Drosophila melanogaster: one gene and its partners. The protein of the gene in region 2 interacts with the protein of the main gene of each other region in a pairwise test. Each region holds a gene or a part of one and is shown on either strand. Other genes may lie near its edges. The genes, in order: CG10444, CG13068 and PIG-C.

What was found.
Region 1: the proteins of CG13068 (region 2) and CG10444 interact in a two-hybrid assay, tested with the Drosophila melanogaster proteins (one large-scale study listed by BioGRID).
Region 3: the proteins of CG13068 (region 2) and PIG-C interact in a two-hybrid assay, tested with the Drosophila melanogaster proteins (one large-scale study listed by BioGRID).

Annotation. Positions count from the first base shown.
Region 1 is NT_033778.4:20,272,762-20,276,517, forward strand, and holds the start of CG10444 (uncharacterized protein), read right to left. Parts: upstream 1,739-3,756; 5' UTR 1,478-1,738; coding exon 496-1,477; intron 439-495; coding exon 1-438. Other genes in the region: CG11788 (uncharacterized protein), read left to right, coding at 1,930-1,967, 2,027-3,166, 3,225-3,324; CG9143 (uncharacterized protein), read right to left, coding at 3,385-3,643, 3,706-3,756.
Region 2 is NT_037436.4:16,267,383-16,270,558, reverse strand, and holds CG13068 (uncharacterized protein), read right to left. Parts: upstream 1,168-3,176; 5' UTR 1,125-1,167; coding exon 1,113-1,124; intron 1,043-1,112; coding exon 725-1,042; 3' UTR 648-724; downstream 1-647. Other genes in the region: CG34248 (uncharacterized protein), read left to right, coding at 1-57; CG4950 (uncharacterized protein), read left to right, coding at 2,418-3,176.
Region 3 is NT_037436.4:3,317,521-3,321,276, forward strand, and holds PIG-C (phosphatidylinositol glycan anchor biosynthesis class C), read right to left. Parts: upstream 1,713-3,756; 5' UTR 1,673-1,712; coding exon 1,172-1,672; intron 1,070-1,171; coding exon 710-1,069; coding exon of another isoform or gene 632-709; 3' UTR 508-631; downstream 1-507. Other genes in the region: Dpm2 (Dolichyl-phosphate mannosyltransferase subunit 2), read left to right, coding at 2,277-2,385, 2,995-3,131; CG12016 (uncharacterized protein), read left to right, coding at 3,225-3,756.

The DNA of each region.
Region 1 (3,756 bases), on a different chromosome or scaffold from region 2:
CTGTGCTAAACTCCAAGGTAACTGGCTTTGGTTTGGGTCCGCCGAATCCCATCCAGAAGGAAACTATCAGGGAAACGAGGAAGCCAAGCAGCACGCCTCTTTGGTTGCTGCGTGTAGTGCAGACTCCCAGTGTGAAAATGGCCAGCAGCGGACCGCCTACCACACCGAAAATGGTAAGCGATGCCTGAAGAACTCCGCCCATGGAGCCAGCGACAAAAGCTAGACCGATGCAAAGCAGGCCAAAAATGCACGCCACAATCTTGGTGGGCATCGTGGACTTGGAGTCAATTAGCGTCCGTTTAAATATCGCCTTGTACAAGGGCTTCAGGTAATCCTCCAGTGTTACAGCCGACAGCGAGGTAACTGCCGACGAAATCGTGGAAAGACTGGCGGAGAATATTCCGGACACGAACAGACCACACAGTCCAGGATATTGACCTGCCGGAAAAAGAAATCAAATAATGCTAATTCTTATTGGATGTCTTTCCAACTCACCCATAGTCTCCAGTGCGAAAAGGGGCATGATCTGATCCCGCTTGTCGATGCGTCCCTTTAGCAAAGGGTCACAATCTCGATAATAGTAGAATATGGACAGTCCACTGAAAATGGTGCTAAAACTAAGCATTCCTAGGATGGGCAGGTTCCACCAAAGCGCCGACTGAGCGCTCTTCAAATTGCGGACACTCAGGAGTCGCTGTACTTGCGTTTGATTAACGCCATACAAGGAGAGGTAAGTGACCATGCCGCCAATGATCAGAGACCACCAAGTATGCCTCACGGTGGGATCCAATGAAAACTCAATGAAGTTCACGCGTCCTCGCTCCACAGCCACATCCCAGATGGCCGCGAATCCGCCGGCTTTAATGGCCGACACGGCAATCACGGCGTAGATGGCGGCAAACATGAGGAAGGACTGAAACACATCCGTGATGAGCACCGCCTTCAGGCCGCCAAGTGTCGAATAGAAGGTGCACACCAGTCCAATGACCACGATGGCCATTGACCGATGAATGCCGGTTACAGCTTCTAAAGCGAGCGCTGGTGCATAGAGTGCAATGCCCATGTAAAGCACCATTTGCACGGTGAAGGCCAGGGAGGCGGACAGCCGGGTGGCCTGGCCAAAGCGCCGCTCCAGATACTCGTACACACTGGTCGTCCGCATCCTGTAGAAAACAGGAAGGAAGAAGTACGCGGCAATGGGCGTACTCAGCACGTAGGCAATGTTGATCACACAGAAGATGGTACCAAATTCGTAGGACTCGTTGGAGACGCCCATCAGTGAGATGGCGGACATGAAGCTTGCCATCAGGCTGAAGGAGACCGGAAAAGTGGTCATGCTCTGGTCCGCCATCAGATACTCCTGTGTGGTCTTTTGCTTGCCGCCTGTATACCGGTAGTAGATGCCAATCAGAGCCGATATGACCAGGATGGTGATCAGCACGGCCGCATCCCAGGCGTCAAACGTTCCCACGGGCATGTTGTTGTTGACTGGATTCCGCTTGTCAGAGAACTGGAAGTTCGACGTCCGTCACTGGTCCGAATTGATTTTTCCACAAGCGTCACCACCAGCGGCGATTGGACGCTTCTCTTGCCCAGCAATGACCTTTGGCGCAGTCAACGCTTTCTAAAGTGCGCGTCCAAGTGCACGGCGAACGGCGGAAAACAAGACGCGTGCTCGCGAAATCTCCGCTCAAAAAAGAAACGTTCTTGCCGAGGCTACGACCGTTAAATAACTGATCAGCTGAGCGGTGAGTGTGCCCTTGCAGGGTGTGCGGATTAATGCTGTAATGTTTTCCAAGCACATTAAGCTTACATATTGAAAGGCCATTGAATACCCTCAACGAAAGCAACATTGCTGTGCTTTGGTCCCACTACTTTTTCCCGCTCATTGTTTTGGTTAATTTTTTGTTTTGTTTACATGCAGCGAACATGGAATCCATGGAGGTTGATGAGTCTGCTGCCCAGCTGTGAGTGCCTTTGGTATGCCTGCGTAGGAGTTATAATGTTACCCAACCACCCGCCATAGCTACGTTCGCACGCCGGAGGATGTGAAGGCCATTGTGAAGCATGCGAAACTGGACGAGCGCCAGTTGACCCAACTCACCCAGGCTCTGTACTTTCCCTCGGCGGACGTGGATTCGGACAATCTGCGCCTTCTGGAGCTCGATGGGCACATGCTTGGACAAATCCGCGACGGCCAGACGCTATATTTCAAGGGTGGCCAGAACGAGAAGCTGGTGCTGTGCACCGATGAGCGAACGTACGACGTGAAGGGCGCGGAAATATCCAATAGCCTTTTGCTGGTACCGGACCTCAAGTTTGCCGCCGCCACCAGCACCTCGCCGCTGAAGAGTCCGCGCACTGGCAACGCCAACGCCTCCCTGGAGCGCAGCCTCAATGACAGCACGGAGGATGAACTGGAAGTGCCGCGAACTCTGGAGCAGCGGCCGGTGCTCAAGGTGTTCCACGAGTACTTCGAGTGCCGCGAGATAAAGCCGCGCTTTCGCAAGCTGGGTGAACTACTGCAGCTGACTCGATATTCGGGGCCGGAGAACGAGTTCTGCGTGGAGCAGAAGCTACTCTTTACCTTTTCGCAGCTCCTGGACACGGTGCAGTGCAGCCGCGGTCAGTTCATGGAGGGATTGAACCAATATCGAGCCATAGAACTGGACGGGCGAATGCGCGTGATGGAGTACGAATACGAGTATCGCATTATTAACATGATGCTGGGTTTGATAAGCGAAAACTCCTGGGCCTTGGACGAAGTGGAACGGGAGGAGACCATCAATGCACTGAAGGGCATAGCTCCAGAGGATGTTGTGGCTGGGCTGTTTGATATCTATACCATTCCCAGTGAACGTTGCCCGGGCAAGTTTGAGTACCAGGAGTCCTTGGTCTCCCGCATTGTGGCACAGAACATTCTTCAGCCGGGTTTGCGCTTTCGCAACGAGGAGTTCATGCGCACCTGGCAGGAGGTACTGCCCGAGGGCATGTCCTGCGACTTAAAGTACCTACGAGGTCTGGGCATTTGCGACAAGGAGGGAGCGCAGCCTTGCATACGCTCCCTGGCAGAGGAGTTACTGCCCACCAATATAAGCGATCGCATGCGGGCGCTATTTAAGACTAAAAAGAGATGGACGATGGAGGAAATGGAACCGTACATAGAGTAAGTAATGATGAACACATATCTAGATTGTTTTTTTGATTTTCGGTTTTATAACTAGGTGCTTTACCACCCCAAACTTGTCCGTTTCCACACTATTGGCCAAGCACGCTCGCTCATTGACCGATGGAGGTGTGCGATACTTTGTTTCAAAGCATTGATGGAAACATCCAAGGCTATAGCTTTGTATCTCTTATTCAATAAAACAGCTTTAAGTTAGATTAGGCATTCCGTTTTCGCTTGTTGCGATCTTTTTTGGCCTGCTTCTGGTCCTCTATGGCCGCCTTCATGGTCTCCACGGCACTTTGAGTATGACTCGTGGCTAATTGGGCCGCCTCGCTGTTGGGATACTTGAAGCTGAAGCCTCTGGGGAAGATGGGTTGGGCCAGGAGAGCATTGAGCTGCGCTCTAACTGTCTCCACGCGCAGCCGATTGCGACGTCGCTCAATCACAAATGGATCCTCATCCTGGTCACTGCCACTGCAAAAGTAAGAGTTAGTCATAGACTTCATTTTAATGAGATCTTGTTAAAAAAAACTTACGATTCGTCATTGTAGCCATCAATGATCATGTCCATTTCCTCAGCGTGCTTC
Region 2 (3,176 bases):
TGGCTGCCATTCGGACGCTACAGCAACTCCATTCCCGTCCACATAGTGGCTGCCTAGGGGAGCGTCCTCCCACTGGCCATAAGGTGGTCAAAGGACACTGTTGTCCCTCCTGTTGAATCCTTTCCCTGTTATGGTTGCTATTTTACTCGTTATTGCCCGCTTTAAGCCAGAAATATATTTTTAGACACGCACATGCATAATTATTTATTCGGGTTGACGCAACTTTCAGTCGGCAATTTTTAAATGGCCAACACGTGATTCTCCTACCAGAGATGCCGGTTACCTATACATTTCGAGAAATCTATCACTTTTGCCATCTGTGATTTGTCAATGGATGATGACGCAACTGAATTGGTATTTTTTCGGGCTACATTTCCGCATTTTAAGTGGGCAGAACAGACGCTGCCAGAACAAAAGGTTTAGAAAAGGTGACAGTAAAAAAATATTAATTATAAAAAACGTATATGTTTAGGTGACTTTCTTTTTAAATACTATCAAGAACTTTTGTTGCCGCCAAAAGATTGAGAAATAATAATTAATAGTAGAAAATCCATTAAAAAGTATTAATAATATATAACTATAGCTTTTTTGCTATTGAAAAACAGAACTTGGTGTTCCCATTTCCAGAATAATATTTTTAAGCTTTTAGTTTGATTTGTTTTATTGCCAGTCGGGTCTATTTTTATTCCATTTCAAATCCGTTTTGAATACTTGTTAATCCGTTTTACAAAACAGTGGTGTATGCAGCGCTGTAAGGGTAGGCGGCATACGGATAAGCAGAGTAGGCAGCGGCAACTGGAGCGGTATAAGCAGCGGCGGCAACTGGAGCGGTATAGGCAGCGGCGGCAACTGGAGCGGTGTAGGCAGCGGCAACAACTGGAGCAGCAGCCACACCGTTGAAGTTGCGGGCCACGTACTGCGAACTGGTAGCGGTGACCACGCCGGCAGGAGCAGCTGCAACCACTGGAGCGGCGGCCAGGATAGCGGGCTTGGGCTCAGCCGAGGAGCAGGCCACCAGAGCGCACAGGACAACGAGGGCAGACTGTACGGAAATAACCAGTTAATATAATACTCCAGATATCTGTATCCATATGGAGAAACCACCAACTCACCAGCTTGAACATGATGGTTTAGTTTAGTTTGATTTGAGCTAGCAAATTGGACTATGACTTGATTCGATCCGACATGCAACTTTTATAGCACCGGGAAATCGCATAGATGCTTTTGACTTTCTGGGCACACACGATAATGGGGCGAATGATTCTATACCACCTGCATGGGAATGCAGAGCGGCCTTTCAGTAGCTCAATTGGCCGTTTGGCTACGTTCCCGCCGCCCGCGGAGGTCGATTCCAATCCGAATCCGAATCCGAATCTGAATGCAAGACCAAACCCATTCATTATTTCGGGCACGTCCGCATTGTGGGCCCATAAAAGATGTCGCCGCGAAGGTGACCAGTAGCCCGATGTGATTGATGCCACCAGACACGGCTAATTGCCGATGAGTAACCTCCTGCGCCAAGAGTTGGCCAGGAATCAATGAAATGGAATTGCACGCTTCAATCCGATTGCGAGCGCATTGTTTCAGGGTTACGTCCGTCGGCTGCAATGGTCTTTATGCAATCAAAACCATGTCATCGTGCCCGTTCTTTGTTTCGGCCAAAATCTAATCCGCTTGACTGATGCAATGCGGTCAATCTCACACACGAGCCAAAAAACGCCAGTTACGTTTACATTCGCATCGTAAGGTCAACAAACTGCATGGCAAGATGCAGTTTCGAGGGGGTCGCCAGATAACTGAGGCTCTAAAGTTAGCAGACAGCTTTTAATAAGAGTCAAGCTCAGCTTACCAGTCCATTCACAATCGAAACGTGCCTGTATGGGCTTATATCTCTGAAGCAAAATGAAGCCAGACATGTAGGGGTTCCTACAGGGCAAGTTCTTTTGGGGAGAGGACGACCTCGGAATACCCTGTACTCAATTAACCACATATACTTCTAATCTTGAAAACCAGAAGCAGAAGAATGTCTAGCTACACGACATATGTATAAACATATTACCAAAATTGATATAATGACAATATTTAGAAAGATATCGTAAGATACCCAAATTTTATATATTCGTTTTAAAACCTTTTTCTATTATTAAATGCATTTATGAGATCACGTCTTGAAATGACCGTTATAATGTAGTGCATTATAAAAGTATAAACAAAACAAAGTGCAGACCGACAATATGTTATCACTATTGCGCTGGACTACTGAAAGCTGGCAATCTGCGGAGGAGCGAGATAAAGTTTAATCAATGAATACAATATTATATGTAAATACAAATGGAGTGGAAGCTGGAATGGCAGTCTGCGAAATTCCACTGATGCAGTTTACAAAGTTATTTGGCGGCGAGCGGTTCGTAAAAAAGATGAATAGAACGCGAAGGATACTCGAAGTGATCGTTATCCTTATTCTAGCGATATCGAGTTGTGATGGCAGTGGAGGAGATATCCCCCTGCGATGCGACGAGTACGATTCCATGGGATACATGGACGTGAATGAGGCGTTTTGCACGGTCACCGGATTCACGGTCACACACAGTCAAAATGTCGTGATCAAGAACATACCACCCGGAAATATGGTCAAGTTCATGAAGTTTTACGAATCAACGCTGCTCTATATGCCCTTCCATCTATTCGAAACATTCCCATATCTCAAGACCCTCGATGTCTCGAATACGAATATTTTGGAGCTAACGAGAAATGCATTCAGTGCTGCGAGTAATCTCACCTATCTGAATCTGGCCTACAATAATCTGACATCTATCCAGACTTCTGTGTTTATTGGCGCCAATGTTCTGATGCGTTTGGATTTGTCCTACAATGAGATATCCTCGCTGAGTGTGAATGCCTTCTGTGGCCTGCACACCATTAGCCAGATTTATCTAACGGGCAATCTGTTGAAGGAGCTGCACAACGATATCTTCAAGGATAACGAGTACTTGGAGAAGGTGTCCTTCGAGGGAAATCTACTGACCAGCATTCAACCGGAGGTTTTTCGCAATATGCGGCGCATCAAGGAGGTTAATCTATCCAATAATCGCCTGATTTTCATCCATCCGGACACTTTTGCGGATGCGGCAAGCTTGGAGAATCTGGTGTTGTCCTATAATGAGTTGAAAAACTTC
Region 3 (3,756 bases), about 13 Mb from region 2:
TGTAATCTGGATTATTTATCTCTCAAGAATGCTTACTGAAACTGTGGAAGTAGCTTGCAGGACAGCATGCATTACATAGATAGGTAAAACGCAGAATACTAAAATAATTAAATCTCTGGTTAGACTAGGAACTTCTGGGAAACCCAAGGGCGTGCACTTAATACAGATGTCACTCATCCATATTCCATAGTCTATTATTAAAGCAATTGCTTCAATTTATTTGCGTTAGATAGGGTCAAATATATTCAATGTATGCTCATGCGAATGTTTAATTGTTATCTACGAAACGGGTTTTAGTCGCTGACGATAAATAATCTTTAACTAAATTTATTTTTAGTCTGAGTAAAACACAACCAAGCCAAAAAACTCACCCTGTTAATTTAACTCCATTATCTTTCAATTGAAAAACCTTTGCCTTAAGTTGATAACAATTTATTTAAAAAGCCATTCATAGGACCAAAAGAAAGTCCCCTAAAAATTACACAAATTTAAAAGTGCTATGGTTTTAAACACAAAAAGTATAATTTATTAAAACGCTACTTACAAACTAACAGATATAACATGATACAAAAGATTAACATCAATGGCTTGGAATGAGTTTACAAAGTTATAAAAATAAGCGTGCAATGGTTTAGCGATCAGTGAAGTGCTCCTCGACGTCGCCGCTACCCAGTCGTGGCGGCAACTGTTCTGAGAAGCGCAGCTGGCGCTATAAGTTCCCATCCAGGTTCTCCTCGGTGTTCTCCTCCACGATGGCCTCGTCCCAGGGCCCGTGAATGTTGAACTTGTACTGCTGCTGCCACACGAATATGAACGGGCAGACAAAGTTGATGAAAATGGTGGTGGAGGCGTAGAGATAGAGCACCGGGCGCGATATACAGTACAGCGCCATACAGCATATTGCAAATATAGGCAACATGAATCCAGCATGCCAATTCGCTTCCGTCATTATGGGATAAAGGACGAAAAAGACGGCAGCCTCGACAAGGAGCACGAAGGCGTGATACGAAGTCGGCAGGCGGGAGGCTAAGCAAATTGCTCCAAATATGGCGGCATTCAACGAGACGGCCTGCGCTTAACATGGAACAAGAAGTATTTGTATTATATAGGATTCTGAGGTGGAGTCAAGATCAATATACAATCAACACCAATAGCCGTAAATATTGCCTACCTTAGAGACCATGGCTACATCCAATCCATAGTGTCCAAATATCAGGTTGCCCAGAAGGACAAAGAAGGTCATTGTGTATATGGTGTCCGTGCTGATGGCCTGCGTTAGGGTGTGCAGCATCGGTGAGAATAAGTAGCCGAAGAGGACCACTGTGACCAGGGTTTTGGAATCCTCGCCCAGCAGGGCCCAGCTGAGACTCCTTCCTCGGTAGCACAGGTATCCAATGCCTGTGATCCCGCAACTGGGTACCAGGATCGTGGTGGGCGACACGCTGTCGCTGAGCATAAGTTGGTAGAGTATTAGGAAGCCGGTGATGCAGGAGATCTGATTATTAAGCACTGTAATACCGGCAATTGCTTCGCCGAACGTGTATATTCTACAATGTAGATTCGTGCGCAGATCCTTCAGAAAGCTGGCATCCGTGTAGTTGTCCGGATATTCCCGGTTGGAGTACAGGTTCTTCACCCATGGCTGCCGTTTCGATTGCCCATTTTTTACCATTCTTAAATTTAAAAATTGTTTGTTTACAATTCTATTAGTGCTGGGTTATCAGCGTTCGATAGTATCAGTTACTATCGACATATCGATATTGTTTTATCCACTGAAAAGTATTGAAAGTAAGTGCTGGTCACACTGTCATAGTGATGCATGTTTCACTTGAAATATCGATGATGATAGTTTAATTTGAAATATTAATAAACTGTTCATTATCTAAACAAGGGGTTTTACAGCAAGCTAATAATATACAAATCTTATTCTGAAAATTATCCCCAAGCAGAAGTGACTCGCCTACATCGATAAGAACATCCGCTGGTGTTGCGCAAAACAGTTACTCGAGCTATCGATACTTGTTCGAGTGGTTGAACCACCACTACCTTGAATTCGGAAATTTTTTGACGCACTTGTTTGTTTTGTTTACAATTACGCCACGAAAGTAAATCGGCAGCTACGAAAAAACATTAGGGATTCGTGCGGCGGGTAAACGATCAGTGGACAGTGAAGCAGTCCGTCCGGGGAGAACGCCCCATGAGCAGTTTTACAAACAAATCGCCGGTCGCGTGTTCTCTCGCCAGAGAAACCCCAGAATTTCCGAGAATAGCTATTTATGGCTTCGAATGCGCAACTCGGGAAAATCATTTTGATATCTGCAATCGCCGTGTTCTTCTATTACTTCTTTTGGGTGGCCGTCCTCCCGTTTATGCTCATCGATGAAGGTGAGTTTTCCACGGCTTCCGTTATTCACCCGCTAATACATAAGTTTTATTGAATAATCTCGCGCTTTTGTATAGTAATTAAAGTGACGCCGCGGCGTAAATTGGTCACGATGTTCAATTATATATAGTTGGCAGTGTACGAGGATGAACCCGTGTGTTTTACAGAGGTGACCACCCTAACACGGGTTACCTGGAATGCGGCTGTACGATGCTCTAAGCTCGGGTCAAGGTCACCGACGACTAGTGATGATAGGAGTACAGTATTCGCCCGATATGTGCACAGTCAAACTAGTTAGCTATTGTAGAGTCTAGGCATGTACAATCAGCGATAAAAACGAAAACGTGCTTAACCAGTGGTACCACTGTATTATGTGGTTCCAAATCTGGGTGTGTACTTAGCTAATTATTTTCGGTAGTTTTTCCGCCTGGATATTGGCTCTTCACTTTATACGTAAATATTTCATGATCGTAGTTTTGCCGTTCCGTGACAATTTTAATTTGTTGCTATTAAGAGTAATCATAAAAACAATATACTTACGTATTTTCTTTCCTGGCCTGTTATCAAATGAAACACTTGTGAACATGAGTATACTTTACAAACTTTTACAGGCAATCCCATTCGGCTGTTCTTTCCACCGCTGAAGTACGCTTTCATTGTGCCCACCGTGTTCGGGGTGATCTTCCTCGGCGGCATCGCCGCGTTCTCCTTTTACCACATCTGGAGCCTGAGAGTGAAACGTGATTAAGGGGGTTATCCGGGGGGTTATCTTGCTCGGTGCGAACGCGAACGTACGATTCCACTGAAAAACAAGGAAGAGCGATAGTCAGTCGTGGACAAGATGCCGCAGTGGCTGGTCATTGGTATCTCGGGAGTCACCTGTGGTGGCAAAACTACGCTAGCCCACAGCCTGCACGACTACTTCAAGGGTCTGAGAGGAGCGCCGCTGTGGAACTCGCCGTACACCATTGGCGAGGTGCGTCTGATCTCGCAGGATGACTACTTTCTGCCCGTGGAGGACAAGCGACATCAGCGAAATGAGGCGCTCAACGCCATCAACTTCGAGCTCATCACCTCGCTGGACATGGCCAAGATGCTGAACGACATAGCGCACATAATCAAGGGGCGCCATGTGGCTCCCGAGCCACAGGAGCACCTTGTGACGTATGCCAACTTCGAGCACTACGCCCAGCAGTTCCAGCAGCAGTACCAGTACAATGCGAACTACTACAAACAGGCCAATGGCGGGGTCTATCAATATCCGCCACAGCAGCACCCGAGACATCACCCCCATCACCAGCAGCACCACCACCAGCACCATCAAATCCAGCAGCAGCAGCAGCACATTATGAGCATCAATGCGCAGATTGCCG